Canis lupus familiaris: one gene and its partners. The protein of the gene in region 2 binds, or shares a complex with, the protein of the main gene of each other region. Links are inferred from orthologs where the notes say so. Each region holds a gene or a part of one and is shown on either strand. Other genes may lie near its edges. The genes, in order: POLR3E, POLR3C, POLR3G and POLR3K.

Region 1 (7,430 bases), on a different chromosome or scaffold from region 2:
GGGAGAGAAGCCCGGGGCTCTGTGTGGCCTCAGTGGCTCATCTTGAACTGGTTTCGTGTTCAGTGAGGGCCACTTGGTGGTAGGCCAGCAAGAGGGGATAAAGTCTGGTGGACAGCTGGTCCACTTAGCATGTGTCCCGGGGGGAGCAGGAGATTGGGAAACGAGTCGGCTGTTTCCTGGGTCAGGGATTTTGACATCCCTTAGGCTCTCAATGTGAGCATCTTGCCACCCCCTGGGTGGGGCTTACTTAGCTTTATGCATCATGGATCCTGAATGAAGGTGCTCCGTGGAGAACCGGCCCTCGGCCACTGGCTGAGTTCACCGTGTATCTGCCAGGCATGCTTTTTACTAGGTTTCCATCTCGTGTGCTGGCTTAGAACCTAATCCTTGAAGCTGCATCAAGTAAGGGAAGCAATTGAGCTGAACCCAAAGATGCCCTAGGCCTCCCCAACATTTTTCTAGTGGGGGGCAGGGAACAGCAACTCCTGATCTCTGGAACCTCCTAAAAGAGATTGGTGTTGGCAGAGCCTTAGAATCGGACATCGAAAGCTCTGCCATTTCCTAGTGTGTGGCTTTAGGCAAATTACCTCATGAGGTAAGTTGATGTGTATATGAAGCCATTGGACTTAGCCTGGCATGTAGTAGGTGCTCAGTGGCTGTTAGCTGTTACTTTGTCATTGCTGTTAATGGTCCTATGGTAATGGTCACAGGCAGGGCACCTAGGACATGGCTGCTGGGCCTGCTCAGTTGTAAAGCTGGAAATGGTTGGTTGAGGCCACACCACAGAGGCCTTGAATGCCATGCTCAGGTGGTTGAATATGATCCTCTGGCTGGCCGTGTGGCAGGACAGTAGGCGGCTGGAGTGGAAGGTGATGCAGGGGTAAGAACTGGAGTGCAAAGGATCTTAGGGGGGTGGTGCAGGCCTGGAGTGGTAGCTGAGGGTCTTCCCACCCTGCCCCTTCCCCCACAGGACAGCCGCTCTGAGCATGAGCGCCAGTACCTGCTGTGCCAGGGTTCCAGTGGGGTTGAGAACACAGAGCTCGTCAAGTCACCCAGGTGGGACCGGCTGGGCCAGGGTCTTAAGCTACCGAGCCTACCACTGGCCCTGGGGGTGCCCTTCAGTGTGGGGGCCTTCCTAGGGATTGTGGCCCCTTCTGTAGCAGGGGAAATGGACATGGGAGGGGGCCCTCCCTCTGGAGAGGGCCGGGGGGTGGGTGTGGAAAGAGGTTGTCGTCCTTTCTCTGCAAGTTGTGGGGGAGCTAGGTCTTGGTGGGTGTGGGTCTGCCACCTACCCCCAGCCCTCCTTTGGGAGGCCTCAGCCTTGGTGGGGTCTGGGTTTGTGGGCAAGGGTGGAGCAGGCAGAGCCCAGGAGCGGCTGACCCTGCCCTCTCCCCCACTGCAGTGAGTACCTCATGATGCTGATGCCACCCAGCCCAGAAGAGGAGAAGTGAGTAGAGTTGGGCCAGATGCCACCCTCCCCACCCCAAATCTTTCCTCTTACCCTCTCCTCTAACCCACTGTCTCTGTTTTCACCAGAGACAAACCCGTGGCCCCCAGCAACGTCCTGTCCATGGCCCAGCTGCGCACCTTGCCCCTGGCTGATCAGATCAAGATCTTGATGAAGAATGGTGGGTGGACACCCACTTCCTCCAGGGGGAACCCAGCCCTACCACCTCCTGGGGAAATGGACTCTAGGACAGACTAAGGACTCAGCATGGGCCTGGCTTGACGGCTCTGGCCTTGCCTAGAAGGAATGCACCACAGTGGCCTGTTGGGCTCCCTCAGCAGGCTCTGATTCCTGTTCTCGTTCTGGCTGGGCCACTGCCCTGCTGTGAGCCTGGGCAGGCCACTGATGTTCCCGAGACTAGGGAACTAGGATAGCTCCTGAGGGCGGAGATGAGGCTTCTTCATGGCTTCTACAGAGCCTTGCACGTGAACATGAGCTCCATTCGTTCCCTTGCACTGTTTTGTGGTACCTGCACCAGGCTGCACCCAGTAGGGACTGGTGTCTTTCAGAGGACTTGGGGGCCAGAACCTGTAGGGTAGGGTGAGTCCTGAACCTCAGAGCTTAATCCCAGGCCCTGGGCTCCTTTCCTGAGATACCACTTCTAGGATCTCCAGGTGCCTGAGCAGAGGCGAGCTCCCAGCTCTGCCTGGGGCTGCTGGGGTGCCAGGCCACTGCCCTCGCTGCCAACAGGCCTTCCCCGGGCCCTTTTTGGGCCCCAGGAGTCATGGTCTTACCTTTTTTTTTTTCTGAGTACACTCCACACCAAACATGGGACTTGAACTCATGACCCTGAGATCAAGAGTCACGACTTTACCAGCTGAGCCAGGCACCCCGTAGTAGTCTTACCTTTAAGGAGCACCCCTTGGGGTGTTTCCTCCAGAATTCAGTAAGGTGGGGTGCCCACACAAGCAGCCAGTGAAGTCAGCTCTTATTATTACCCATGTGTCAGTGTTATTCACACGCTGGAGTGGTTACATGAGCCTGAAGCTGTATAGACTTGGTGAGGGAGAAGGAAGGGCCCCTTCGCTTGTCTGACATCTGTGTCCTCCTCAGTGAAGGTCATGCCTTTTGCCAACTTGATGAGCCTCCTAGGCCCCTCCATCGACTCTGTGGCTGTTCTGCGTGGCATCCAGAAGGTGGCGATGCTGGTCCAGGGAAACTGGGTGGTGAAGAGGTGAGTTCCTCTGCATGGGACCATCTGATGCATTTCAGTTCGTGATTACTGATGTTTTGGGTTTAAGTCTACCATAGCACTGGTTGTCCTGCATTTTATATCCATTCTTACCTGCTACTTGATCCTTTTTTGTTACTCCATTTCTCCCTGCTAATTTAGAAGTTACCCTTTCTGGGTTCTTTTAGTGAGTAGCCTACAGATTCAGAGTGCATTCATAACTGATCATAGTTATATTAATGGCTGTATTTTATTCTTATCCAGTACAATTCAGAGACCTTAGAATGCTTTCTGTTTATCTTCCTCTCAACTCATGTGCCATTGTATTTCTATTTTTTTATTTCTATATTTTTAATTGTAGTTTAAAATCCACAAGATGTTATTTTATCCAGTCAGTGTTCTTCAGATTTCACATATTTTCTTTTTGATTTTGCTTATCATCCCTTTCTGCATCTGAGTTTCTATCTGGGATAATTACCTCCTGCCAAAAATTGCCGGGGTGTTCCCTTAAAGAAGATCTGCAGGGGGGAGGAGTTACTTGGGTATTGTTTGGTTGCAAATATCTATTCCACCTTTATTGATTGTTTGTTTTAAGATTTTATTTATTTATTCATGAGAGACCGAGAGAGAGGCAGAGACACAGGCAGAGGGAGAAGCAGGCTCCATGCAGGGAGCCCAATATGGGACTCGATCCCAGGTCTCCAGGATCACGCCCTGGTGCTAAACCGCTGAGCCACTGTGGCTGCCCTTCACCTTTATTGTTAAAAGATATTTTTCTTGAGTGTAGGATTCGAGGTTGATGGTTTCCCTTCCACACACTGACATAGTTTCATTGTGTTCTCATTCCCATTGTTTCTAGTGATGAGTCCCTTGGTCCCCTCTGGCTCTTTCTGAGATTTTCTCTTATTGTGGCTTTCCACAGTTCATTAAGATGCATCTGAGTGTGAGTTTTGTTTCATGTGTCCCGTGGGGTTTGGAGCATGTGGCTTGATGCCTTTCAGTAGTTTCTCTTCTGTGACCCTTCCACCAGACCATTATTTTCAAGAGGGATGGGGGTAGTAGGGACTTCTATTTTGACCCCTACCTTGTGTCCCTGACACTCAGTATAATGCTTAGCATATCTCAGACCCTTGGTAGTAAGTGTAGGTGCATTTCATGTATGTCTGAATTATGTTTTTATTTTTATTTTTTAAAAAATATTTGTGTATTCATGACAGACAGAGAGAGAGAGAGGCAGAGACACAGGTAGAGGGAGAAGCAGGCTCTATGCAGGGAACCCAACGTGAGACTTAATCCCGGGTCTCCAGGATCACACCCCAGGCCGAAGGCGGCGCTAAACCGCTGAGTCACTGGGGGTGCCCTGAATTATATTTATTTTAAATAGTGTGACATTAGGTACACTAGTAAGGGCTCACTTTTTAGAAGGTGTGGTGTAAGGTGAACAATCTCTTTAAAAATTTGTTCCAAATTTTTTAACTCCTTGCAGAAGCTCCTGTCATTTCAGCTGGTTGGCCAAGTGAATTGTAGAGTCTGTTCACGTTACTGCCACCTGGTGGCGCCCTTGCACTGGTAAACTTGTCCAGTGTCTGTCAGTAGTTGGAGCTGTTGTGCCACACACGTGTTTGATTATGGAAGGTCTTTGGATGTTGGATGGCACATCCCTCATTAAGTGGGACCACCCAGGTATATTTACGTTACGAATGGGTGAGAGCCAGGAGGGGCCGTCCCCTCACTCAAGGACACTGACCCAGAGAGGCAGACACTTGCCAAACATCTGGCAGCAAGGTGGTCCCGGAGCTGGGGTTTGAGCTCTTGGCCCAGCAGTGCCTGTGGCCCTGGTGCTTCTGCCCTTTCAGCCTGGGGTCCATCCCTGTAACCTGGACATGGGGCCTCTGGGGCTGTGTGTTTTCTGGCTCCCCGGTTCTTCGGCTCCTGCTGCAAGCCCTCACTGCCATGCTGTGGCCTGTGGGTGGCGCCCCTTTCTTGCCGTGTCCCTTCTGTTTCTGTGTGGAGGTGATGCAAAATTTACACATTGTTCACGAACTATGTCGTGATTGCTTGTTCTGTGTCCTGTGCTCCACTGTCATTCCTACACTGTCCCTGCCCTTGGGAATTGTGTGGGGCAGAGATGGGCACCATTACAGATGAGCCCAGGGCACGCACCACGTTTATCCATTTGTTCAGTACCTACCTAGCAGCTCCCTTCTCTGTGTGGCAGTGATGAGCAACATAAGCCATGTCCCTGTCCCCAAAGAGTGTTTCTGGGATGGGAGTGGACACAGAGCTCGACCTTAAAGGAAGGGTATTAGTTGGTTGCCAGGTAGGATTGAGGAGGGCAGGAGTGAAGTCTCCTAGCAGAAGGAGGGGGCAGGAGAGCAGAGGCACCCCAGGCATAGGATGGTCTGGGGTGGTGTGAGTGTGACAGCGTCTGTGGCCGAAGTTGGTCAAGGTTATACTCGTAAGCCTCAGCACCCTGTGCCCCCAGGCCCTGAAGTTCTCTAGGCTTGCCTGGTGGTTCCCTTCTCTCCAGAGGCTTCCGCCCCACTCATGCCTCAGGGCCCATCCAAGTCCCATCCAGGTCCCAGCCCCTGACCCCTCTTGCTCCCACTCACACTGCCTGCCCGTCCCTTCCAGCAGGTGGTGAAGGCCTCGTGTCCTGCTTTCCAGCCCAGTCTCTCCAGGCCTCACAGCTGCCTTGCCTGTGGGACTCACTGTCTCAGGCTGGCCTGTTTCTGAGCCCCTGTCCTCCCTGACTGCGGTGGCTCTCAGGCTAGGCTAATGTGTGCATGCAAAGTCAAGAAGGGTTGACAGGAGGAACTCTTGGGGGAGGGGGTTGTTTTAAGAGTGCTGCTTTTCTACAGACATGTTCACAGAGCCAGGCTCCGGGAAGCCCCAACGGAAGCTGCACTGGCCGGTGTTGGAGAGGCCTGGGCTGGGCTGGGCTGGGGCACAGGCACTGCGGGAGGCAGAAGGGCTGAGGAATGGGACTGACCTGTTGCTCCTGCTCTCATTGGCAGTGACATCCTGTATCCCAAGGACTCCTCCAGCCCTCACAGCGGCGTGCCTGCCGAGGTGCTCTGCCGGGGTCGAGACTTTGTTGTAAGTGCTCAGTGCTCTGCCCTTTGCTTGGTCAGGCAGGGTCATGGGAGGGGGTTGGGGCCAGTGCAGGGCTTTTGGAATCTTAGCTTGGGCAGTGGGAGAAGAGCAGGTATGTGTGGCCAGGCCAGGGGCAGAGCTCTGGACCCTGTTTTCTTTGTCCTTCAACTCAGAATCCTGGAGTCTTGGGCTTTGCAAGAACACGGGAGTTCTCTGGCCTGGGGATTACAAACCAGAGGCCATAGGTGGACTCTGGTACAAACCAGATTTCTGGCTCATTATGAATGCTTGTGGACAGTCTGGTACCATGGGCCCAAATCCCTGAATAGTTCTGGCTTTGGGTGGGGCTGACAGTCGTGTTCTCCATAGTCCCGGGAGGCCTGCTTCTCTTCTACCTGTTCCTGCATTATTGCTGTGGGTTTTTGCGACTCCTCAGTTAGCTCATTCCTCCAGTCCATTGCCCTGCCTCATGCCCTGCCCTTATCCAGGACCTGAGTCCTGGCCAGGGTATCCCTCTCATAGGTTTGAACCCCGGCTGCTGGATTTGCACTGCCTCCCATGAGGGAGTTCACAAAGTTCAGCTTTGTGCTTTGAACTTGGGGACCTCGGTCTCCTAGGCTGTCCACAGTGACCATGACATGTTCATGCAGCCCTTGAGCTGTTCAAAAAGAGTGCGAGCATCTTTTCCCAATTGGATGTCCCAGCTTCTCTGGACAGATAGTATCTAGGTGCAGATGCAGTTTATTTTTGTCTCGGAGTCAAAGTGCAGTGGATACTTTATCCTGGGCTTGTTGGCCGAAGCACACGTGCCATCTGCCACTGCCTGCCAGCTGTTCTCTGTTCGTGCGGACACTGCCAAAGCGGGGCCTGGGAGAGGGTCTAGTCAAACCTGAGTTCTTAGTGGGGAAATCCCAGGCTTCCAGGACAATTACAGGGGCCTGGAGGATGGTCTTATCAGTGATCCGTCTTTGCCCCCTGGAAACATGCTCGTTTTTCTCCCACAGATGTGGAAGTTCACGCAGAGCCGGTGGGTGGTAAGGAAAGAGGTGGCAGCAGTGACCAAAGTAAGTGATGCTGGGAGGCCCGGGCCCTGCCACTGCGGGGAATGGGGGCTGGTGGCCTGTCAGGCCTGCGGGCCTCACCTCTGTCGTTGCCCCCAGCTCTGCACAGAGGATGTGAAGGACTTTCTGGAGCACATGGCCGTAGTGAGGATCAACAAAGGCTGGGAGTTCATACTGCCTTACGATGGGGAGTTCATCAAGAAACATCCAGATGTGGTCCAGCGGCAGCATATGCTGTGGACGGGCATCCAGGCCAAGTAAGGGCTTGCTGGGCTGTCCACAGCCACCTCGCTCCCTGGGTCATGTCTGGGCTGGGGCTGCATGCACCCCTTCCTTTGCTCCAGTGGACACTGTGGATTGATCCTAGAACCCCCTCCCCCCCAGCACAGGCCTGGCACAGCCATCCCACAGAGCTGAGGGGTTGTGAAGGAGCAGGAGCCCCAGGGGCTCCCAGTGGGTGCGGGGCCTGTGCGCTGTCGGGGAGGGCGGACAGGGCTCTGGGCACATGGCATCCTCAGGCAGCAGGATGTCCCTGGCCTTGGTGGCAGCTGTTGGCTCTAGTGAGGCAGGTGACAGGGGACGTGGCATAAAGTTA
Region 2 (7,884 bases):
CCCTCAAAAAGACATCTGGTTTCCCATAACATTTGTCCAATTCAAGAAACAATGAATGCCTACTGTACACTGAGAACTTATAGTGAAGGAATCTCAAGTTCACATAAATTACTTTCATAAAACTTTCAACATTTTCCTATATGTATGAAAATCATATTACTGACTTTCCAGGGTTTGAGTTGGTTTTTCAATAGCAGTCAGATTTGTCCTGAACCAGATACTTACTGACCTGATCATTCTTACAACGAACATGTTCAAGGTGACAGCTTAGGCTTAAGGATCTAGAAATGGCCATGAAACATGAAACTTACTGGCTCATATATGAATCAAAATTATAATCTTGACCTCATTGCACCTTTTCCTAAAAATGCATGACAACAATGATTTTACTAAATATTTCCTCCTTCTCCCTCAATTTACTCTTTTCTACAGCAGTCTGTGCTATTCTCAATTTGAATTCTACCTATCCTTCAAAACTCAATTTAAATCCTATCTGAACTGTAACTTCTTCCCTGCACATCACCAATGCTACCGTATCCCTCTCTCACTAAACTCTTAACCACATACTATATCCACCCTATTCATGTATATTGTTTCTTTTTCCATGTTTGTCTTGTCTTTCCGACATAATTATGAGGTCCTTGAGGGCAGAAACCATATATTCCTTGGTATTGTCTCCAGGACCTTCAGATGAGAACCTTGTATGTATGCAGTATTCAACTTAGACATCAGGTATGACAGATAATAAACAATACTAAAAAGATCAAGAACTTCTCTTGGGATGCCTGGGTGGCTCAGTGGTTAAGCGTCTGCCTTCGGCTCAGGGTGTGATCCCAAGGCAGGGGATGGAGTCCACATTGGGATCCCTGCATGGAGCCTGCTTCTCCCTCTGCCTATGTCTCTGCCTCTCTCTGTGTCTCTCATGAATAAATAAATAAAATCTTTAAAAAAAAAAAAAGAACTTCTCTGGGCATTAAACTAAGGCTTATAAAAAACTCCTACCACATCTTTCAAACTATCCCTTTTCAAGAGCACGAAGTGGGGACTTGAGATGTTAAGAAGATATAATAAGTTGTGAAAAGTTAGACTTATTTTTAAAGGCAAAGTGAATAGCACTTAAAGATCAGAAGACTGCAATGTTCAACAGGGCATCACATTCAGCATGTCACTAGTTACACAAGTACTGGCTGAATTCAAGACCCTCCTCTCTGTGGTTAAAGAGAGTTCTGGAGGCTCTACTGTCCACTAGCAAAAGAAAAAACAAAAACAAACAAACAAAAAAACAAAAAACAAGACACCAAGGCACCTGCTCTTCTTAGCACTGAAACATGGCAAAAAAACCTGCACACACACAGAGCTGAACCAGCAGGCAAAAGTAACATAGCACATAGATGAAACTATGACCCTGGATGGGGTGGGGCAAATGGAAAGAAAATGCCCTAAAAGCATGAAAAAGCACAACTTTTGGTGAAGAAGCTAAAATACCATTGAGGCATGTATTCACTAGACTCCATTTGTGTTTCTAGAAACTAAGACAGGGATCCCTGGGTGGCGCAGCGGTTTGGCGCCTGCCTTTGGCCCAGGGCGCGATCCTGGAGACCCAGGATCGAGTCCCACGTCGGGCTCCCGGTGCATGGAGCCTGCTTCTCCCTCTGCCTATGTCTCTGCCTCTCTCTCTCTCTCTCTCTGTGACTATCATAAACAAATAAAAATTAAAAAAAAATTAAAAACTAAGACATGCATGCAGACACATTTAGTAGGATTTCTCACAGGCTGTATCTGAGACACAGTAAATACAGAGGTGGGTTGTTATATAGCCCCCCTGTCTTAAGGCTGAGGCTGGATAGTTCCAAGAAAAAGAACAACCATAACTAATTCTAAAGATGGCTGGCCAAGGGTAGAGTCTACATTCACTCTTGTGGGTCTCCCTGTAGTAGCTTATAACCCAACACACAAGAGCTGGGTTTGGAGGGTTGTAGCTGGCTAGCCTGCTGTAGAAGCACATTCTTCACAACGATTGCACCACTCTCCAGGGGCTAACAGACAATCTGGCAGAAACTGGTGAAAACCAATCTTATGTCAGAGGAGCCAGTCCCCAGCATTCTATCATGGGTCTTTTTATTAAGTGAAGAGACAGAATCGGGGAACGGGGCGGGGAAGGGAGGTGATGCTAAAACACGGGCAGCAGGACAACATGTCCTGACTTCTTCCTAAAGCCATTTCCTTCAATAGTGATAGGACGGACAAGGCAGTCTGCAAGTCATTAGCACACTTGTTTTCACTTTCACAAGAACCCTGGAAACCACTGAGGAGCAAAATCCTCACCTCCCCACAGTTACCTTCCAACCCTCTCTCTCTCCGCGCTTTCTTCCTTCCTTCCCTAGAGACAAGCGAACAGGGACAACCCTCAGCAATCCGCTATTTGGCTCCCCTGGGGATTGGGGGGCGGGGGTGTCCGATTAAAAGTGAAAAAGGCCGTAGAGGAAGGTGAGAAGTGCAGAAGATATCGAGAGGGGGGAAAGAGAGGTCATTGTGGGATAGAGACAAGGTAAGAAAGAGTGAAAGAAAACTAAGGGGAGAGTTGTCAGAACTTGCTGCGAGAGGAAAAAAAGATGAAGCGACGCAGGTGAAGGGCCGGGTGGGAGCGAGGGGCAGGTGGAACATCCGAAGGGGAAAAGGGCTGGGCGGGAGCTCTGGAGCCAGGGCCGGGACGCCCAGGATTTGGGGCCGGAGACCAGAAAACAGCGGGCAGCGGGCATTTGGAAGGCTGGTGTCAGAAAAATCCGGGCTGTGCGGGGCGTTGAAGACCCCTTCGGGGACTGCGGGGCGAAGGATCCCCGCGGATGCCCAAGCGCAGGGGCCACGGGGCTCTTACCGGTAGTTTGGGGCTGACCTCGCCCTTGCAAAAGTGGCAGAAAAACCGGTGCGCGGCGACAGCGGCGCCTGCGCCCGCGCCAGCCGCGGAGGCCTCCGCCATCTTTCTCTTCCGCCGCGGCCGTCCGAGAGGGCAGCGGCCCGTCCCCCGCCAGGCCGCTACCTCCGGGCTGCGGTCGTCGCCTCGGCCGCCGCCGCTTCCTAAGTGCGGCGGGCCGCCGGAGGCCGCGTCGGTCACGTGAGTCGGCCGGGCCCAGCGAGCCGGCGGCGCGGACGGCGACCCCGCGGCCCGCCTCCCGGCACCAAAGAGGCGCAGGAAGGAGAGTCCGCCCGCCGCAGCCTGCCCGCCGGCTCCTCAGACAGCGGCTCGCCGGTCCTCCAGCTTTCCAGCGAGAGGAAAGAAAGAGCGTCACCGGAAACCACCGAAACTCCGGGGTAGAGCGGCACGCGTGGTTCCCCTTTCCCTCCTCCTGGCTGCCCGTCCGCCTGCGAGGGAGGGCCGTGGGCTCCCCCTCTGCCCCGGCGGCCGGTGGGACCCGCAAGAAGCCGCATTGTTAGATTGCGTTGACCCCGAGGTTAGTGGAAAATGCTCCCCTGACGAAGCGGCCCTGTCTGTGGACCAGGGGACCGAGTCTGGAACGGGGACCTGCGTGAAGGGAGTGAAGAGCCGGGAGCTAAGTAGGCTCCCTGGAAGTCCTGTTGCAGGATGGGACAGGGTCCGGGATGCTTCCCCAAGCACATGCGGATGGGAATATAGAGCTGAGAGGCGGAGACTTGGCCTCTGGGGATTTGGGAGACTAACTGAACAACTCGATGCTTGGTAGCCCTTGGGATAATAAGTAATTATACTTTAGGGTCAGCTGTGTCTGTTTCTGTGTATGTTTACTTTCTCAAGGAGTAGAAATTTCAGAATTAAATACTGCCTTTCAGACAACATACTTCATCTCCTGTTTGAAACACCCAGTTGAGAAGCTTTCCTTTGCCTCCTTTTCTTCTTCTAAGTTGTCATTTCCTTTATGGACTGAGGTGACACTACCTGTTCATTCCCAACGGCCGTGAACAGTGGCCTTAATTCTTCCAAGCAATGGAGTATTGAATCTAAAGTCCGTGACATCGCAAAATCATCTACACCCAACTTTTAAAGAAAATTAGAATCACTCATAATCCCATTAAAGTAAATTTGACATATAGTCTTCCAGTCTTTTTTTCTATGCATTTTTCTTGCGGTTTTGTTTGTTTGTTTTTCATTATGATTTAATTGTCCTCTACGTTTTGCTTTGTGACCTGCTTCTTTCACTTAAGGAACAATTTTCTATGTTCATATGTATTATACTTTGTTTTAAATGGTGGCTAGTATTCCAATGTATGGGTATGCCATCATTTATTGAGTTAATTCCTATTGTTAGACATTCAGTTGTTTCCAGCATATCAGTATAATAAGGGAAATTACAGTGACTTTTATTTTCTTGAGACAGTATCTAAAATGAAATTTTTTAAAGATATACTGTTAAAATTGCCATCTAGAAAGTACACGAATTTGCACTACTTCCAACAAAAGAGGAAAACTATCCATCATATGGCCTTTTTTCCCTCTAGCTCTGAGACTTCTCAGTACAATGACTCAAGCAGAAATTAAACTTTGCTCTTTGTTGCTACAAGAGCATTTTGGAGAGATTGTAGAAAAAATTGGAGTCCACCTAATCAGGACTGGCAGCCAGCCACTAAGAGTAATTGCCCATGACACAGGAACATCACTGGATCAGGTATGTGTGGACGGCATTAATTTGCTTTCATTCTTTATCTACCTTTAAATATTATTCCTCCCCACCCCACAAAACAAAAAAAGAGAGAAAGTCTGCCCTAGGATCAGAACAGTGTTATTTGGGGAATGAGGGGGGGATAAGATGTAGGCCTCAAGGTTCTGCTCTCAAGGTATTCCTGGTTCATCATGGCTTCTTAGGCAAATCTTTGCTCCTAATATGCTACACCTTGCTTATTCATAATAAGTCTATTAATCTCAGTGCTACCTTTAAGGAATAAGAATAACGGAGGGGAAGTACATTGTACTTCGAAAGGTTTTTTTGTTTTGTTTTTAGAGAGAAGCTGTGCACACACACACATATTCCGGCTAGGGTGAGAAAGAATCTGAAGCAGGCTCCACCCTCAGCCTTTGTCTTGATGTAGGGGCTCTATGTCAAAACCCTGAGATCATGACCTGAGCTGAAATCAAGAGTCAGATGCTTAACCAACTGAACCACCCAGGTGCCCCACATTATACTTTGAATGATCAGAGGAAATGAGTGTCAGAGGGAGGAATCTTACTGTTTTCTTCCATTCACATGTGATTCTTTTTTTTTTTTTTTTAAGATTTTATTTATTTGACAGAAAGCACAAGCAGGGGGAGTGGGAGACGGAGAAGCAGGCTCCCCGCTGAGCAGGGGGCCCCATAAGGGACTCAATACCAAGACCCAGGGATCACAACCCCAGCCAAAGGCAGACGCTCAATCTCTGAGCCACCAGGTGCCCCTTGACATGTGATTCTCAATAGCTTATCCAAATGGAGGGAGGGAAGAAGCACAGAGATCCTTAGCCAGCTCTTAGTAAATTATTAGACAAAAATTGGCAACAAAAATGAGCTATGACTTCAGATCTTTTCTTTCTTTCTTTTGCGTCCTATCTAGGTAAAAAAAGCCCTCTGTGTGCTTATCCAACATAACCTGGTGATATATCAAGTGCACAAACGTGGTGTAGTGGAGTATGAAGCCCAGTGCAGCCGCGTATTGCGAATGCTTAGGTATCCCCGGTACATCTATACTGCCAAAACACTGTACAGTGACACCGGAGAACTCATTGTTGAGGAGCTGCTATTGAATGGCAAAATGACAATGTCAGCTGTTGTGAAGAAAGTGGCAGACCGGCTCACAGAGACTATGGAGGGTTAGTACTGTACTCATAGCTGTTAGCAAAAGCGTAGATTGGCTGGCTGCAGGACTGGAACTTCAGCTAACTTAGGCAATCTCATCTGCCACTTTCATCCTGTTGTACAGATGGCAAGACCATGGACTATGCTGAGGTATCAAACACATTTGTGCGACTAGCAGACACACACTTTGTACAGCGTTGCCCCTGGGTGCCTGCCACTGAGAATTCAGACCCAGGGCCACTGCCACCTGCCCCCATTCTTGTGATCAGTGAAAAGGACATGTACCTGGTTCCAAAACTGAGCTTGATCGGTAAGGAATTTTGACCCCTGAAACTATGATTTGCCCTGGTTGTGGATTCTTCTTCAAAGATTGTTAAATTAGTGAATGAATCGATCAAGCAGTTACCAAATATTTACTCTATGCCAGATACTGTGGTGTAAAATGAAAAAACAAGTCCCTGACCTTTTGGGGCTTAAGACTAATATAAAAAAGACTTGAGTTACATTACTCAAATAATCAGATAGATGTATAACTAAGAAACTGATTAGTACTATGAATGAAAAGTATGAGATGTTATGAAAATATGTAACAGGGAACCAAATTTTTCAGGATTTAGAGCACACGCTTCTCTGAGAAAGTAGCAGTTGAGCTAAGATTTGAAACAGAAGCAGGAACTAACCAGTGAGGTAATGTATGAAGGAGTACAGAGGATAAATATTTTTACAAAAGGAATAGTGTACAATGAGAAAAAAATAGGATATTTGAGGAAGTAAAAGATGGGTCAGTGTAATTAAGGCATGGTGAGCAAAGAGAGCCATGAGATGAGGATAGAAAGATAGGGGCTAGATCATACAAGACGTTATACAGACAGCATCTGTTCTTTATCCTAAGAGCAAAGGAAAACTACTAAAGGATTTAAAGGAAGTGACATGATCTAATTTGCATTTTTAAAAGATTTTCCTGCTTGTAGATAGGATAGGGCAAAGGTAAAATGTAGACAAACCCAGTGAAAAATTAGATACAGAAAGGGTAAAGGAGACAGAAGTACTAAATGACATTTGTGTGTCTGACTTGCATGTGGGGGGAGGATGAATGGTCCTACTCACTGAAAGGAAGCGTTTGGAACAGGAACAGTTTGAGGTAGAAAGATTAGAACTTTCTTTTTTGAATATGTTGAGCTTCAAATGACTTCATCATTACTTCGAATTTCTTGGAGCTCCTCAGCCTCCCCAGCCACTTTAACCTAGAGGCAGCTGGAGATGTCTTGGGATAGAGGGAAACCTGCTCTCAGATTCAGTGATTTCCTGTCTTCATATGAGATGTAGCATAACTGTTTGCCTGTTTTATTTATCAGGGAAAGGTAAAAGGAGAAGATCATCTGATGAAGATGCTGCTGGGGAGCCCAAGGCCAAGAGACCAAAACACAACACAGATAACAAAGAGGTAATGGGGCTTAGGGGTCCTCACCCTAAGGCAAGGCAGAAAGATAACAAAGGTAACAGGCCCCAAGAGATTTACAAGGTCCTTGATTGAGAAGTAGTAGGATTAGGGATCCCTGGGTAGCACAGCGGTTTAGCACCTGCCTTTGGCCCACGGCGTGATCCTGGAGACCCGGGATCCAATCCCACGTCGGGCTCCGGGTGCATGGAGCCTGCTTTTCCCTCTGCCTATGTCTCTGCCTCTCTCTCTCTTTCTCTCTCTCTCTCTCTCTGTGTGTGACTATCATAAATAAATAAATAAACATTTAAAAAAAAAGATTTATAAAAAAAAAAAAGTAGTAGGATTAGTAGGATTATGAACTTCATTCAATATTGACCAAGAATGAACTAACAAAGTGTAAACTCCATTACTTTCTCCTTTCTGAGGCTTCATCATTAAACAGAGGTCAGATCTTATGCCAAAAAAGGGCCTTCTGTTTTCTCTCTGAAATAAGAGGCAAGGTCATGTGCTGAGAGTGGGAAGAGAGGGGTAAATAGAAAATTTAAGGATACTGGAGAAGAGTTCAGATAGAGAAAGATTAGGTAAATTCAGAGGTGAGTTTAAGGGATGCCTGGGTGGCTCAGTGGTTGAGCGGCTGCCTTTGGCT
Region 3 (7,430 bases), on a different chromosome or scaffold from region 2:
CAGTCAAATCTCATGATTAATGTGTGAATAATCAGACAGCAGTAAACTAATATTTGAGCTTTTATCTGCTTGACTTAGAAGAAGCTGTCTCTACAGGGTGGCTGCTTATTATTTAAACTGGAAGAATTGTTCCCTCTCTATAAATTAACTGTTTGCAAAGTGTTTCCACGATGTGTTAATCACATTGTTCTGTAAGATAGTGCCAGTATATAGTTAAATCTCACAGAGAAGAAAATGGAGACTAATAAGTAGATAAGCCAAAACTAGTTGCTAAGTGCAAAAAGAAAAAAGTAATAAGACAATATGTGTGGCTCTGAGATCATTTTTTTTAATTGCATAAATCTGCTATGGTTAACTGATTTAAGTATTTTATGGATTTGATTTGGGTCTTTGTGATACAAATAAAGTTGTTTATTTAAAAATATTTGAGGTGACAGTAATGGAAATAAAGACTTCCTAGTCCTACAGAGCAGTGAATGATTTTTATATTTTGAAAACATATTCCATAACTGGTTAAATAAGTTTATTGTTAATTATGAAATAATAGCTAATAGGATTTTTCAGATACAGTATATACCTTGCACAGTGCATTTAAAGTGTACTTAATAAATACAGCACTATGATTCTCTTTTAACTACACAAAATTTGTGGGTTGTAGGCCTCTTTACTGCAATTTGATTAAAATAAAAAAGAAAAAAGTCCATATGTTAATATTGGTGTAGCATCATTCTGTGTGGGTATGTGTATATATATATTTATAGACACTTTAGAAGATCTATAAACACTATTTTGTTTACTTGCAATTTCCCAAAGGGATTATCAGTTAGAAAAACTGCACACAGTATATTGTAGTAATAACTCATATAAGGCAGCATAGGTCAGTGTGAAGATAAATCATCTTATGTCTACATTACCTTGACTTTATTTGTTCTGCCTCAGTGGAGTGAAGTACGAAAGGTGAAACTTGAATTTTGGTTAGAAATTGAATCTATCTGATGTAGTGTTTTTATTGCCTTTGATCTCCTTAAATTCAAACTTGAATGTAATTAAAGAGATTTTAAAAATAAATATTTAAGAGCCAATAAAGGAATCGCGAAGTTGTAGTCACTCCAGATACAAAATGTGTTTTCTCTCTATATGTAGTCTACAAAGCAAATATAATAGGATGGAGCATTTGCAGCTATATGAACTAACGTTCTGATTATTGTTTAAGAATAATCATATCTTAGCTAAAGTGATCCTGTGCTTTAAGTATGAGTATTAATATATGAAATTATTGTTGTATCCACTCCTATAAAGCTTGTGGAATTCTCTCACTCGTGCAAATTAAGCATAGATCAATTTAGTGAATGGATAGTGACAGTAATGAAAACAGACCCTTTTTTATCAAAGGGAAAGAAATGTTGGTAGTCATAGAAATTTAAAGATGTAACTGTAAAGTTAAATTTGTTACGAGAAAGTAGCAGTGATTTTAACAGTGAATAAGTGAAGCCATCAAGCAATCAAGGTTTCCTAACAACATCTCTCTTTTGCCTCCTGAGTTGCTAGGAAGTGCTAATGTTGACAGTGGTTTTATTTTCTTTTTTTTTAAGATTTTATTTATTTTATTCGAGACAGAAAGAAAGAGAGTGAGCACACAGCTAGGGCTGGGAGCAGAGGGAGAGGAGAGGGAGAAGAGACTCCTGGCTGAGCAGGGAGCCTGATGTGGCGCTCTATCCCAGAACCCTGGGATCATGACCTGAGCCAAAGGTAGACGCTTAACCAACTGAGCCACTCAGGTGCCTGACAGTGGTTTTAACTGTTATTTGTTTGTTTTGTTTTTAGCAAAGATTAAAGTTTTAATCTCTTTCTCTTCAATCTGCCAGATATGTTAAGAAGTAAAAATTCCTGGAAATAAGTAAATAATGAAGGAGAACAGAGAGAAAGATGGGGATAATCTGCAAGCAGGATAATCCACACCAAATGATTATGTATTAATTGTTTTAAATGATCTCTCTTTGGGGCACCTGGGCGGCTCAGTGGTTGAGCATCTGCCTTTGGCTCTCAGGTTGTGATCCTGGGGTCCAAGGATCAAGTCCCATATCGGGCTCCTTGTGGGGATCCTGCTTCTCCCTCTACCTGTGTCTCTGCCTCTCTCTCTCTCTCTCTGTATATATCTCTCATGAATAAATAAATAAAATCTTTAAAAAAAAATTCTCTCTCTTATAAACTAAAACATAGGAGCAGGAGCACCTGGCAGGCTCAGTTGGTAGAGCATGGGACTCTGGATATTAGGGTTGTGAGTTCAAGTCCCAGGATGGGCATAGAAGTTAGTAAATAAATAAATAAATAAATAAATAAATAAATAAATAAATAAATAAAATTTTAAAATGTAGATATTTTTGAAATGTTACCGTTATATTTTCTTTTCTCCTTTCATATTGAAAAGATAACAAAGTAGCATTCTGAAAGTTTCTCTCTATAAACTAAATCAACATTTTAGAAGAAGGTAGGATAGAAACCATAAAAATAAGTCATTGTGCTTAGAGCCGATACCCAACAATACCTGAGACCTAATTATAAAGTAACAAAATCAATGAAAATACTAGTATAATGACAGGACAGAGAGTTCCTCCTTTCTTGAGTGAATTCACAGTTTCCTAGGTAGTGGTCTGGAGGATTAGAATAAGGTTATAGGTAACTGTTTTCTTGAGGCTAAGCAGGGAGGTCAAAGTGTAGTGGTTTCCATTTAAATTAATGAAGTTCATTTATACCAGGAATTGGAAAAGAGAGGTGATGGTGAAAAATCAGATGAGGAAAATGAAGAGAAAGAAGGAAGCAAAGAGAAAAGTAAAGAAGGTGATGAGGAGGAGGACGATGATGCTGCAGAACAAGAGGAATATGATGAAGAAGAGCAAGAAGAGGTAATGGTTTATTTGGGGTGGGTAACAAAGTTACAAAGTTTACGGATTATCTAATAAGGAATTGGATATATGTTATATAATTAAATTAACAAACCAAAACCAAGTCAATGGCAATGAAGGATATGTTATTATCCCTGGTATCAGTTCCTTAGTTCAAGAGAATTATTATAGCATTGAAATAATGATACCAAACTGAATATAGGAAGTGAGAATAAGTTGATAGGCAACCCTAAGTGGAAGTCCATAAGTGAAACAAATTGATTGATTATTTTAAGATTTATCTACATAAAAATTTAAATATGCCATTACTGTAATTAAGGACTTAGTCATTTAGGGTGTGAAGAGGAAATCCTTGGAATATCATCATGTTTCAAGCCCCAAAGTTCATATGGACCCTGCCAGAGAACAGTTATGATCTAACCTCAAGTATTTGACTGAGTTAGGACTTAGTAGTTTGGATTTGGGATTTCTAACTTCTAGAAACATGCATGGTGCATTTCAAAATAAGCTAGAGCAAATAAGGATATTTTTGAGCAGGGTAACTTTGTTGGTCACAGCATCTTTGGGACTTAGTAGATACCTCATGCAGTAACCCTAGTTTCTTTCTCCTTTCTTCTCCATGGCAGTGAACTTTGTCTTCACTCCATTTTAGCCTCTCACAGGACAATGAATCTTTACTTTACCTGAAACTGCTATAACTATGAAATCGTTATTATTCATTTACATTAAATTTGGTTTGTTTTAGAATTTACATTAGTGTAAAGGGAGAGGTACAGATCCATTTTTATCTATTTCCAAATGGCTAGCCAGCTGCTAACCTCATTTATTAAATAAATTGCTTTCTTCATTGATTTGAAATTCCCCTGTATCAGCTATTAGATTTCCCACTTCTATTTAGATATATTTCTGGGACCTGATTTTTGAACTATCACTCTGCTGTTCCAATTAACAGAAGCTTCTGATTATTTGTTAATGTTTCTAGGGAGAATTTTCCTGAGTATTCTTTATTCTTCCAGATAAGTTTTAAACATTTTAAAACTAAACATGTCTTATTGTCTCCAACTTTCTTTCCAGATCATTCACTTTTTTATCCCTGCACTCTGATGTGATTGAGACTGCCAGACCTCTGATTCTCTATTTCCTCTTTACTAGTTCCCTGTCTCAATTTCCTTCCCTAAGGGGCCTAGACCCTTGCTCACCCTTAAGTGCTTCCTTGCCATTACTCTCATCCCTTGTCCTCTCAGCACATCCTTGAGAACAAGGTAACCTTTGATCAATTCCACTGTCTCCCCTCCAAACCACCTATTGAACTTTTCTGAGGAGTCACAGAAACTGATGCCACAAAAACAATACTCACTAGCCACTGTTGGCTGGCTCACATGCTGGTTTCTCTGTTTCTCTTATCAAGTCATTTGTCTACATCAGTTTAGATCATCCCTTTTCTTCGTAATCCCTCTCCTTGACTGCCTTTCTTAGTAGATAATACCTTCATACAGAAAATGAAGCCATATAGAAGGAACTCCCCTAATTTCATGTCATCTGCCTTCAAACTAAATGTCTTTCTTCCTCCCCCTTCATTTTCAGTGGAAGAAGTAGCCTTCATTTTATTTGGAGCTAATTGTCTGGCCTTTGGGGGATCTATAATCCTTATATCCCTTCCTTTTTTCATATTTTCAGGGTTTTTACCTACTACTTACTGCTTCCATTCATGCATTAAAATATGTTCATCTTTCATTATAAAGTATGTTGCCCACATTCTCTTCCAGGTGTCCTGGTATCTCCTGGAAAGCCGCTTAGCTGGCTTCACTTGCTCACTCCTCCCTACCCTCCTCCATTTAGTTCTTTTTAATGTGATTTCCATGTACATGCCATTGAAATTATTGCCACCAAGTTCACCAATAGACAAATTTTAGTCCTTATTTCACTTTTCTGCAACATTTAACACTGCTCACAACTTCATTATTAAAATATTATTTCCTTTATTTAAATTCAACAGTTTAAGGCAATTATGGCATCAACTATATGCCAGGCATTGTGCTGCATGCCAAGACATAGGCAAACATTGTTCCTTTTCTTGCTTTTTGTGACACAACACTTCTTGTTTTTCTCCTATTTCTGGTACTTTTTCATGGTCTCTTTTGAGTTCTTCTCTTTCTAATCTTTAAATGTCAGTATTCTTCAGACTTCTTTGCTTGGATTTCCTTTTCTCTCTGCAATCTCCCTGACTGCATCCCTAGCCAAAATTTCAGTTGCCCTGTATATACACCTATTAGTCCTCATTTTTCTTCATTCACCGTATAATAATTGTACACCAAGCGTATGCTTGGAATTGTACTAGGCAAGGGAAATATCAAGATAGATACAGTTCTCTCATCAGGGATATGGGTATAGTGAGGAGACATACTAGAAAGGAGACCCTTACAATACATTGAATAATGCTATAGTGTAATATAGTAGAGGATGCCATAGGGGTACGTAAGAGGGGCACCAAGCTCCGTTTTAGTGATATGAAAAAGATATCTCACAGAAGACAGTCTGAAGACTTAATCAGATCAAGATGAGAAATGGATGGGAAGAGACTTGCAGATAGAGGAAAGAGCACGGAGAAGTTTTGCAGGTGATGAGAGTGTAGCCTAACAGTGTGGACCAGGTAAGTCAATGTGGCTGGACTAGAGAGTCCAAGTGGGAGTATGTGGAGATGTGAAGCGGAAGAGACAAATACAGGATCTTAAATACCAGGCTGAGCAATAGGACTTTATCCTGCGGGCTATGAGGAGCCTTTGGAGCCTTTGAAGGGTTTAAAGCAGTGGAGTGATTTTATCAAATATTTGTATATTAGAAACCTTGGTTGCTTGGATTGGAAGGAGCCATGGTTAAATCATGCTTGAAAGCTTGTTGCTATGAACCAGTGATTCTCAACCAAGGTATATTTGGTAATATCTGGAAACATTTTTGGTTGTCCCAACTGGTCTTAGGGGTTGTGCCATGCTATTGTCTTTGAGTAGGTAGTGGCCTGTTTTCTAGACGAGACTGGCTTTTGGAATGCTCTGTTTATAAAGTCTGCTTGAGGTCTAGTAATTTCAGAATTCCATGTTAGGCTTTAGCAGAGTACTAAGCACAGTTTATATAAATGTATTTCATTCAAAACAAACAAACAAAACCTTTCCACTTTAATAAAGGATATAGGTTTTGGGTATGAGGCTGGGTGAGAGATGGAGAGGGAAGCTCAGTTAAAGACTTTCTAGATTTAAAATCATCTTGGCCCTTTTTAGCAATTAATGAAAAATTCATATTAACTAACTTACTGGACATATTGAGAATTTGATAAGCATTATTTTTGAAGAGTAAATGGAACAAATTATCTATGTAACACCTCTATGTAAAATGAGAGAAATGCAGACTTTTTCTTTCTTCGGTCTTTTGAATAATGTAATTAAAGAAAAAAGCAAGGGTTCAAATGAAAGCCAAGAACCATTTAAGCCATCAGTTTCAAGAAGTTCTCACTTTGTACCTGCATCAAGATTATTAACATCATGAAATTACCTAAGGTGAATGACTGAACATACTTGGAGGTGCTCACATCTGAAGCATAAGTTGTATATGCTTGATTTGGAATAGTGAGGTAACCTTCCAATCTCATTTACAAGATGATCTCATTTGAACTCTCAGCCATGCCACCCCTCCTCTGTACACTAGCTCCAGGCTACAGCCAGGCTTCTAGATGTTACTGGATTTCTCGGCACCAGAGAAACCACGCCATCTTCCTAGAGATGCTATGGAAACTTACTGGATACAGAAACTTACAGTGTTTAGGGAAGACAAAGTAATGAAATCTACATCTGAATAATATATCTTGCATTATTTATATAAATTTATATATTAAAAAATCCCACCATGCAGATACTAAAAAAGCTGATATCCAGATGACCTTTTCAGAATAGTCTCTATTTCTTACTCTATCATAATTCCTGCTATAGAGAGCAGAGATGTAGAGATTAATTTTTTTATGGCAGATTTCAATGATGAATAAAAATCTAGTGATGAGTAAAATAAAAAAAACATAGACTTTATCACCCAGCTTTAACAATCATCAATTTATAGCCAGTCTTTCAACCACTCATTCATTCACCCAATCCACTCTCACTTCCATTCCCCATCCACCTTGGATTATTATAAAAAGCAAATCCTAGACATTGTATCATTTCATCCATAAATATTTCAGTGTGTATTAAAAAATTAGGGCTCTTTAACAACATCACACTATCATTATTACACCTAAGATGATGAATTTTTGTCTGAAAAAAGGTAATTTTCATTCCAATCAAAATCCAAATACAGCCCATACACTGCAGTTGGTTTTAAATTTCTAATCCACATCCAAAATGGATTTTTGAATTTTTGACAGAAAGCACAGAAATATCAGGAAGGAATCATTTACATGGATAAGTCTTCCCCAATCTTAATAATTAAGTTGTTCCCAGGTGCTTAGTTCTTCTTAACCTCAAGGAAACTGTGGGGCCCTCGATG
Region 4 (7,919 bases), on a different chromosome or scaffold from region 2:
GTGGTCTTCCTGGGCCTCCTGGCCGGCCTGGTGATCCTCTTCTACTTCTACCCCGTGCGCTGCGAGTGGTGCGAGTTCCTCACCTGCATCCCCTTCACCGACAAGTTCTGCGAGAAGTACGAGCTGGATGCCCAGCTCCACTGAGTCGGCGGGCCGCTGGGCCCGGGGCGCGCACCGGCAGGCCAGAGCTGCCCTGGCCCGCCCCGGGCCTTCTGCGCAGGGCTTGCGTCCTGCCTGCTGCCGGGCCCTGACCTCTCGTGCCTTGTTCACCCTGGTGAACTTATCGTGCTTCAGGGCATTTACTACACTAGTTCCCACAATTATCTTCTAACTAGTTTCTTGACGACCACTTCAGGTGGCCAATAAATGGACTGGGAGCGTTTTAGCTGCCACTAACTTACCGGAGCTGCCTCGTCTTTCTGGTTTCTGGCTAGGGCCATGGAGGGAGAGGTTCTTCAGGCCTCTGCGCGCAACACCCCCCACCTTACAGTTCCCCAGAACAGGGAAGTTAAGTGTGAGATATACCTCCCCGTGAAGTCCCTCAGCAGGGTGGACGGCTATCTCCTGCCCCCTTCCCCAGGGTGACCGGCAGCTGACAATGAGAGAAGAACCCACGGCTGTGCTGTCTCATTCCGCCCCCAACCCCCACCCCTGCCGCCTGGCACACGGAGAGGCACTCTGACCCCAGCCCTCCCTCTCCAGCCAGCAGCTCCAAGTTCTGCCCCAGGCCACCTCCCTTTCCAGGAGCCAAAGGGTGAAGTGTGTCACTATAGGTGAACCCTGTGAGCCACGGCTGGAGACCTCAGCCACATGCTGGTGGGTGCACGGCCCCCGTTTCTGCAGAAGCACACACAGAAAGCCGGCCATCTGCTTTTATTTCCCCTTGCTGTAGAAATCACAGTAAAAAGGTTTTATCGCGAGGGGATGATTTGGCCACAGGGCTCAAGTGGAAGCATTCTGGACCTTAGGACTCACCTGCACCATCCTCTGCCCTTGCCTCCCCTCTGTGCCTGGGCAGCAGCGGTCCCTCCTGCTCCAGGAACTGTGGCTTTTTGACTTTTCAAACTAAGAAGCAAACGATTTATTTTGTATACAGGGCCAGGTCCATCTGCCATGTGATTAGGATGTTTGGACCTAGGGCTTAGCTCTGTTCCAGCTGGGTGCAGGCCACCAGCACCTAATTGTCTTTCTGGAGGTTCATTTCTGCCTCAGCTTTTTGATGAAGGACACCTCATCCCGGTTCCGGATACCGTAACTAGAAAAGAAGAAGAGCTCTAGTGTGTGATTTGCAGAAGGTATGTGTGGAGCCTCACCTGAGACTTGGGAGGGTATTAAAAAAAAAAAAAAAAAAGGTAGGAACAGCTTGTGTCTGGGAAGGTGAGGAGTGGCAGTGGCCATCGTCTCACGGACCTAGGTCGTGCCAGCAGGCAGCCTCTCACCTTCCCACACACTGCCCTCCTCTGGCTCTAGGAAGCCCCGCTCTACCACTGGTGAGCAGTACTCACACTGCCCCCATGCCTCCCATTCCAGTAGGGAGAGCCCTCAGGAACCTCCCTGCAGGAGGGTGTTGGTTGAGCCAGGGACTCTCTTGGTCTTGCAAATTCTCCAGTGATTGATTTAAGACTCCTCCTCCCTCGGAAGAGGCCCCAGTCTTCTGGCAGAGCCTGGGTACTAAAGGGCAACAGACCAGGTGCCTCTCTGCAGCTCAAAATGTGGTGTGAACTTACTCTCGAAGCTTCTTCCTGTCCTCTGTGAGCTTCTCTCCTGCAGAGGTCAGGTAGTAGGTCCTCCACACATAGGACCTGCAAAATCCAGATGAGGATCTGGGTAAACCACAAGCAGGGTGATTGGGCAGCTGGGACGCAGCAGCTGTGTGTGAGATGGGCTCGGGATGCTCAGCTCTGGGGGGCCCAGGGCAGGCAGCCTCTTCTTGGCTTGTCCTGTACCCTGTACACACCAGGCCCGAGGTAGCTCGAAAGAGGCACCGCTCTGAAAGAGCCGTGTGGGGTGGCTGGGGGCCAAACACACCTTCCTAATGAAATAGGCTACAGCACGGAGACAGAGACGACCCATGCTGCAGGAGTGAGGAGACCACCCAGGGGAAGATGGGGTAGGGCCGCTGGCAGCTGCACCGTCTGTAACCAAGGAGACCACTTACGCTGGAAATGCTCCAAGGTGCCCCCATTTAAGAAGCCCAGTTGCCTGGGTGAGGTGATGTAGATGAAAGAGAACTGAGGCAGGACTCCCAGGCACCGTGGCACCCACCGCGCCGGGACGCTCAGGACAGGGAACTCCTCGGTGCTCTGTGGCACACATGCAACAGTGGCTCCACTTACCAGCTGATGTGCTGAATGCCCCCTTCACGCTCCTGCCTGAGCTGCACGTATCTCTGAATGGCCTTCTTCAGGTCCAGGACTGTGGCGTTCTGCACCACAACCACAGCTGCGGGAGAAGAGCCATGTTAGGATCCACAGCCACAGCCTAGGACGGCAGGAAAGGAACCAGAAGCTCTGTCCAGACTGTTTTGGACGGAGGCTCAAATTCAGGTGGGGTAGGCTTGTGGTTGCCCCGATGCCCTTCGACGTACATGGCTCTTGAGTTTCCCCTGAGCAGCCATGGCAGCGTCTTGTCTGCGTGACAGCTTGGACTGCAGGGTCCGCAGGGAGAGGGCGAGCACTTACGCATTATCTCTCCATCCATCTTGCACACGCGGACTGTCATCGCTTGGCCATATTCTAGTGCTATCTGGGAATTGACTTCTTCCAAAGTAACCTGCAGAAAGACCAATGGTGGAGGTGGGAGCCTTGGCTGCCTTTGCTATCCCAAACCACAAGACAAGACAAGCGGATAGCATCGGAAAAGCAGTGCCGTATCTTACGAAAGACGAGAGACAAGATTTCTTACTTCTATGCTAGGGTTTCCCGGTTGCACCTACATTTTAAAAGTGTTTAATGTGCAAAGTGCATTAAAGCTCAGGAAAAGAGGAGCGCTGAAACAGGAGAGGGTGAGCGCCAGATCTGGGCTCTGGGGCTGGGAAGGAGGAGGCGCGGTCAGTCCGGGATCCAGGGCGACACCGGGCGGGGGGGGGAGGGGAGGCCGGTGTGCGAGGGTGACCGGGGCGCCCAACCCAGGAGTGAACGTCCTCGGGCGGGGCGCGAATCTCGATGCGGAGTCCCGGGGTGGAGCCGTTCTCCCCACTTGAGCCTCAACTACGGAAACGACCTTAGAACCTGCACCTGCAGCGCAGCCGCGCCCGGGGCGCCCGGGGCGCCGTCGGGGTCCGCCTTGGGACCGGACGACCGTCCGCCTGTCCCTGTCCCCTGCTGCCCCCGCTCGTGCTCGGGTCAGTGAGGTCCTTAAAGGACACGGGAGAATCGAGGCCCGCCGCATCGTCACCTCTGGCGCCCACAGGGGGAGGTCAGGCACCGAGGTCCCGCCGCGCACCTGGATCGGGAGGTCGCAGAGCAGCGGGTCCTGCACCACCATGGCGAGCCCCTCCTGGAACACGTCCACCGCCTCGGAGTGCGGCAGCGCCTCCTCTTCATCCTCCTCGGCCTCGGGCGCCTCGGGCCGCGCCGCCGCCGCCTCCGCCTCGGCCTCGGCCTCCGCCGGCTCCAGGGCGCCCGCCCAGCCCCGCGCTCCGACCGCGCCGCCGCCGCTTCCGGCCGCGAGGGGCGGGGCTGCCACGGGGACCGATGGGAGGCTCGAGGCGGCCTGCCGCAGGGGCTGCTGGGAGCGCCAACCCGGCCCGGCCATTGGGGCGGCGGCGGCCCGGGCCAATGGGAGCTCGCGACGGGCCCGACGCCGGCGCCCCGCGGCCGCAGGGGCTGCCGGGAGCGCGCGGGGCAGCCATGCTGCTCTTCTGTCCGGGCTGCGGGAACGGGCTGATCGTGGAGGAGGGACAGCGCTGCCACCGCTTCGCCTGCAACACCTGCCCCTACGTGCACAACATCACGCGCAAGGTGATCACCCGCCGCCCCCCGCCCAGCAGCCGACGCCCGCCCCGCCGGGGTGCTCCAGCGGCCCCGCCCCCGCCCCCCGCCGTATCGGGAGCGGCCTGGCCTCACCCGGCTCCCGTGGCGGCGTCCCCGGCGGCGGCCCGGGCGGCCTCGTCGGAGCCGTGGCCGGATCAGGCCCGCCCTGTGCGCTGGCGCGGCTGACTGCGGGTCCGGGCCGACGCCGCCAGCCCCCGGGGAGCAGCCCGCGCCGCGCACCGACACGGCCGCCGGGCCTTTGCACGTGCTCCCGCTGCCCTCCCCGCCCCGCCCGCAGCCTCGCCGTGTTTGGGTCGTGCCGAGCAGCGTGGCTCTGGCGGACTCGGGTCACCTGCGGACACGCCTCTACGGGACTTGCGTGCCTGGGGTCGGTGCTGCGGCCCCAACCCGGGCCCTGGACGGAGCCGCGGCGCACCGCCCGCCCCGAGCTGCCCGCGGGAGTTGGGGCCGCCGCCGCGACGCCCGGGACGGAGCCGGGGGCCTGCGCGGAGGGCCCGGGCCGAGCGTGGACGGGGTGGGGTGGGGGGTCCCGGCTGCATCCGCCTCTTGGGCCGGCCCGACGCTGGAGCCCCTGGACCCGGGCCGAGCCCTGCGCCGCGGGTGTAGAGACGCGGCTGCCCAGGATCGTGCAGCCCGCGGGGAGGAGGGCAGTCGGCGGCCGGGTCAGCACCGCGCCCCTACCCGCGGCCTGAACACCTGCCGCCTTTCGCCAGGTCACCAACCGGAAGTACCCGAAGCTGAAAGAAGTGGACGATGTGCTCGGCGGCGCGGCGGCCTGGGAGAACGTGGACTCCACCGCAGGTGAGAGCTGAGGCCGCGCTGCCTTTGAGGAAGGAAGCTCCTAAAAATAGCGTGTGTATTTTCTTCTTTAGTGATTTATTTCTTACACAGGCAATATTGGCATAAACCCCAGAGACGTACAGGTGTGGGTTAGTCTCAAAGCCACAGCCTCTTAACATCGCATGACCTTGGTGGCCTCCCTCCGTTGTGAGAGCGTGAAGGGAGCCCCGCAGCACTTGGCCTCTAGCGTGGTCCTCAAGTGGCGGCTGTGCGGGGAGCAACCGATGGCAGTAATGAAAGTCGGAGCCTAAGGAAGAGTATATGGTCCATTTGTTCAGTTGTGGATCTTTTTTAAAATTAATTATCTCTAAAAAATATTTTATTTATGTATTCATGAGAGACGCAGAGACAGAGACACAGGCAGAGGGAGAAGCAGGCCCCATACAGGAGCCCGATGTGGGACTCGATCCTGGGACCCCCCGGGGTCACACCCTGAGCAGAAGGCAGATGCTCAACCACTGAGCCACCCAGGGATCCCTGGTGTAGATTTTTATTTTTAATTAATTAATTTATTCATTCATTCGTTTGTTTGTTTGTTTATTTATTTATTTATTTATTTATTTATTTTTCTTCCTGGTGTAGATTTTTAAAAGCTGATGGCAGAGAGCATTCACATGTTTATTTCAAGTCTTGTTTCCTGTCTGATAGAGGTAGATGTGACCAGGGAAGGAAAGAAGAGAGCCCTAAACACATCTGTGTTGAGCGGAGGAAGACCCAACTCCTGTTTAGTATTATCTTTTCTCCCCCATAGAAGAACATCTAAATCTGATATGGTAAAATTAGCATTGGCAGAATTTGCCAGGAAAGAAAAGAAGATGATTTTGGTACCTAATGTTCAAAGTGCTGTTTGTGAGTGTTTGAAGGCATTATCAAGCATAGGGTCAGTTTCCCGAACTGAAGTCACTTTGCCTTGAGGTATTTGGCAAAGGTGTGGGTTGTATGGTGAGGTCTTCATAAGAACGGCCTGAGGAACTGCTGCCGAGATGGATCCCTAAATTTAATGGGAAGTGGATTTGTCATCCCCTGGGGGCTCCTCCAGGAAGTTGAGAGGGCTTAGGTGATGGAGATGCACTTGGAAGAATCTGCCCAGAGTGGACCCCATCATGCACATGGTAGCCATAAGCCACATTTCATGTCACATTTCCAGCTAGTCTTCAACCAGATTTGAGAAGAAAAATGGGACTCAGGGAGGGGAGCAGGAGTGTTTTCCAGGGTCACAAGTCCCCTCAGTGTGAGAGTGTAGTGGGAATGATGCCACTAATTACAGCCTTTCAGTCATGGCGCAAGGTGCCCTAGGCAGGGGATGCCAGATGATTGGGGTCGGGGAGGGATTTGGTGTGTTAATACCTACCTACTTCTAGCAGGTGTGTTTGGTCATGAGCATAATGTGGGTCACTTGTTTTTCTCGTTGCCAGAGTCATGTCCTAAATGCGAACATCCTCGTGCCTATTTCATGCAGCTTCAGACTCGCTCTGCAGACGAGCCGATGACCACCTTCTACAAGTGCTGCAATGCTCAGTGTGGACACCGCTGGAGGGACTAGGGCCAGGATCCAGCTGTGTCATTGTCTGCCTACCTTGTTCCCTAGGGTGGATTCACAGCCAGGAGTGTGAACTGTTTGTCCTGAACTGTCTCTGCTGATGTGGCCAAAAGCTAACCCTTTCACGGGAGCTGGTCAGGGTACCAGCCCATCTGGCAGTCAGCGGATGAGCTCATTTATATCCAGGGGGATTGTGTGTGCAGGGAAGGGTATACATAAGTAAGTGTGTTCTTTTTAATATCCTGTTTGTGGATCTTGTAGGTATATTGGCTAATTGACATCTTTTCACCATTATCCTTCTTAAATATGCACTCTGATTGCACAACTAATAAAGTAAAATGTTATAATGTAGGACATTAGATGTATCTAAGTATTTAACTTAATTGTAAACTTATCACTATCTATTCTGAATATTTAATTAAAATGGAAAGTCTAATACTGCTTTTCTAGTGTTTATTTTTTTTTAATTTTTTGCCAAGAAGTATATTTTATTTTCGTTAATCATACAAATAATTTGCTATAATATCCCAGGGTAAACTGCAGAGTTTGGCAGTCTGACTGGGGCGGGGTGGGGGCTGGGGGGCGGCCCTCAGAGACCTGCAGGCTGGCAGCCTTCAGCGTGGAGTGCCTGGGTTCACAGCACAGCTTGTCACTCGTGGCCATCTCGCAGGTGGCTCTTCCTCTACATCACGACCCGGGTGTCTCGAAGATGTTGTGGGTGGGGAACCCTCTAGATGCTTAGGAAATTTTATTCCGTTTCTACTGCTCGATGGTCTCTGGTTGGCAGGGTGTTCTCCAGCGTCTCCATTTTCTTTAGCTTGGCCTTATCGAAGCTGGCGATTTCCCCCGTGTCCAGTTTGCTATTTCTTAAAGCGATCTGTGGAGTTCCACCCCGAGTCCAGTGCTGGGTCCTCCCACTCGTGTTGCTGCAGCAAGAGACCGCTTTCTCATTGTTTTGAGTGCTTTGAGAAGCAGACATCAAACAACTGCCATGCTTAGGGCTCTCCTGGTAACAGAATACTGATAACATGCTTTTCAATTTATCATTCTGTTCTTGTTTCCTAGGATTGCAATAAATTTATTAGGTAGACTATATTTATGCTTCCTTCATTTAAAAAAAAAAAAAACTTATTTATTTATTCATGAGAGAGAGAGAGAGGCACACAGGCAGAGGGAGAAACTGGCTCCATGCCGGGAGCCTGATGTGGGTCTCGATCCCTGGTGTCCAGGATCAGGCCCTGGGCTGAAGGCGGTGCTAAACCGCTGAAACACCTGGGCTGCCCTTCATCTTTTTATTAGTAAAAGGAAAAGGACATCCTGGACTGGAGCGGGGTAGGATGTTAGTTTGTGGATAGTTTCGTTTTTTGCTCAGGACCTCAGACCTAATTACTTTTCTAAATCTCTTAATAATGAAGTCTCACTTGTGAAATCATGGGATGCAAATTTATACCTCTGATAGAAATTTTTACATTTTTGAGACGGTATCTTTTCCAGACATGAATAATCTTTAAGTTTGGCACGATGGTGATGGTTTGTTTGTTTTT

What was found.
Region 1: POLR3C (region 2) and POLR3E share a complex: the UniProt entries of both Homo sapiens proteins name them as parts of the RNA polymerase III complex. The link is inferred for Canis lupus familiaris from reciprocal best matches to the Homo sapiens genes POLR3C and POLR3E.
Region 3: POLR3C (region 2) and POLR3G share a complex: the UniProt entries of both Homo sapiens proteins name them as parts of the RNA polymerase III complex. The link is inferred for Canis lupus familiaris from reciprocal best matches to the Homo sapiens genes POLR3C and POLR3G.
Region 4: POLR3C (region 2) and POLR3K share a complex: the UniProt entries of both Homo sapiens proteins name them as parts of the RNA polymerase III complex. The link is inferred for Canis lupus familiaris from reciprocal best matches to the Homo sapiens genes POLR3C and POLR3K.

What each region holds. Positions count from the first base shown.
Region 1 is NC_049227.1:23,567,676-23,575,105, reverse strand, and holds part of POLR3E (DNA-directed RNA polymerase III subunit RPC5), read left to right. Parts: intron 1-970; coding exon 971-1,056; intron 1,057-1,402; coding exon 1,403-1,447; intron 1,448-1,536; coding exon 1,537-1,628; intron 1,629-2,560; coding exon 2,561-2,681; intron 2,682-5,695; coding exon 5,696-5,777; intron 5,778-6,778; coding exon 6,779-6,838; intron 6,839-6,934; coding exon 6,935-7,092; intron 7,093-7,430. UniProt on the Homo sapiens protein: DNA-dependent RNA polymerase catalyzes the transcription of DNA into RNA using the four ribonucleoside triphosphates as substrates.
Region 2 is NC_049238.1:59,288,955-59,296,838, forward strand, and holds the start of POLR3C (DNA-directed RNA polymerase III subunit RPC3), read left to right. Parts: upstream 1-2,417; 5' UTR 2,418-2,548; intron 2,549-2,875; coding exon of another isoform or gene 2,876-2,977; exon of another isoform or gene 2,978-3,066; intron 3,067-3,315; exon of another isoform or gene 3,316-3,449; intron 3,450-4,470; 5' UTR 4,471-4,490; coding exon 4,491-4,637; intron 4,638-5,555; coding exon 5,556-5,811; intron 5,812-5,921; coding exon 5,922-6,107; intron 6,108-7,152; coding exon 7,153-7,241; intron 7,242-7,884. Other genes in the region: E3 ubiquitin-protein ligase RNF115, read right to left, coding at 2,876-2,977. UniProt on the Homo sapiens protein: DNA-dependent RNA polymerase catalyzes the transcription of DNA into RNA using the four ribonucleoside triphosphates as substrates.
Region 3 is NC_049224.1:18,563,259-18,570,688, reverse strand, and holds part of POLR3G (DNA-directed RNA polymerase III subunit RPC7), read left to right. Parts: intron 1-2,756; coding exon 2,757-2,903; intron 2,904-7,430. UniProt on the Homo sapiens protein: DNA-dependent RNA polymerase catalyzes the transcription of DNA into RNA using the four ribonucleoside triphosphates as substrates.
Region 4 is NC_049227.1:40,883,911-40,891,829, forward strand, and holds POLR3K (DNA-directed RNA polymerase III subunit RPC10), read left to right. Parts: upstream 1-3,802; 5' UTR 3,803-3,851; coding exon 3,852-3,962; intron 3,963-4,708; coding exon 4,709-4,796; intron 4,797-6,250; coding exon 6,251-6,378; 3' UTR 6,379-6,816; downstream 6,817-7,919. Other genes in the region: RHBDF1 (inactive rhomboid protein 1), read left to right, coding at 1-144; SNRNP25 (U11/U12 small nuclear ribonucleoprotein 25 kDa protein), read right to left, coding at 1,198-1,255, 1,728-1,802, 2,337-2,442, 2,682-2,772, 3,445-3,486. UniProt on the Homo sapiens protein: Core component of RNA polymerase III (Pol III) which synthesizes small non-coding RNAs using the four ribonucleoside triphosphates as substrates. Can mediate Pol I proofreading of the nascent RNA transcript.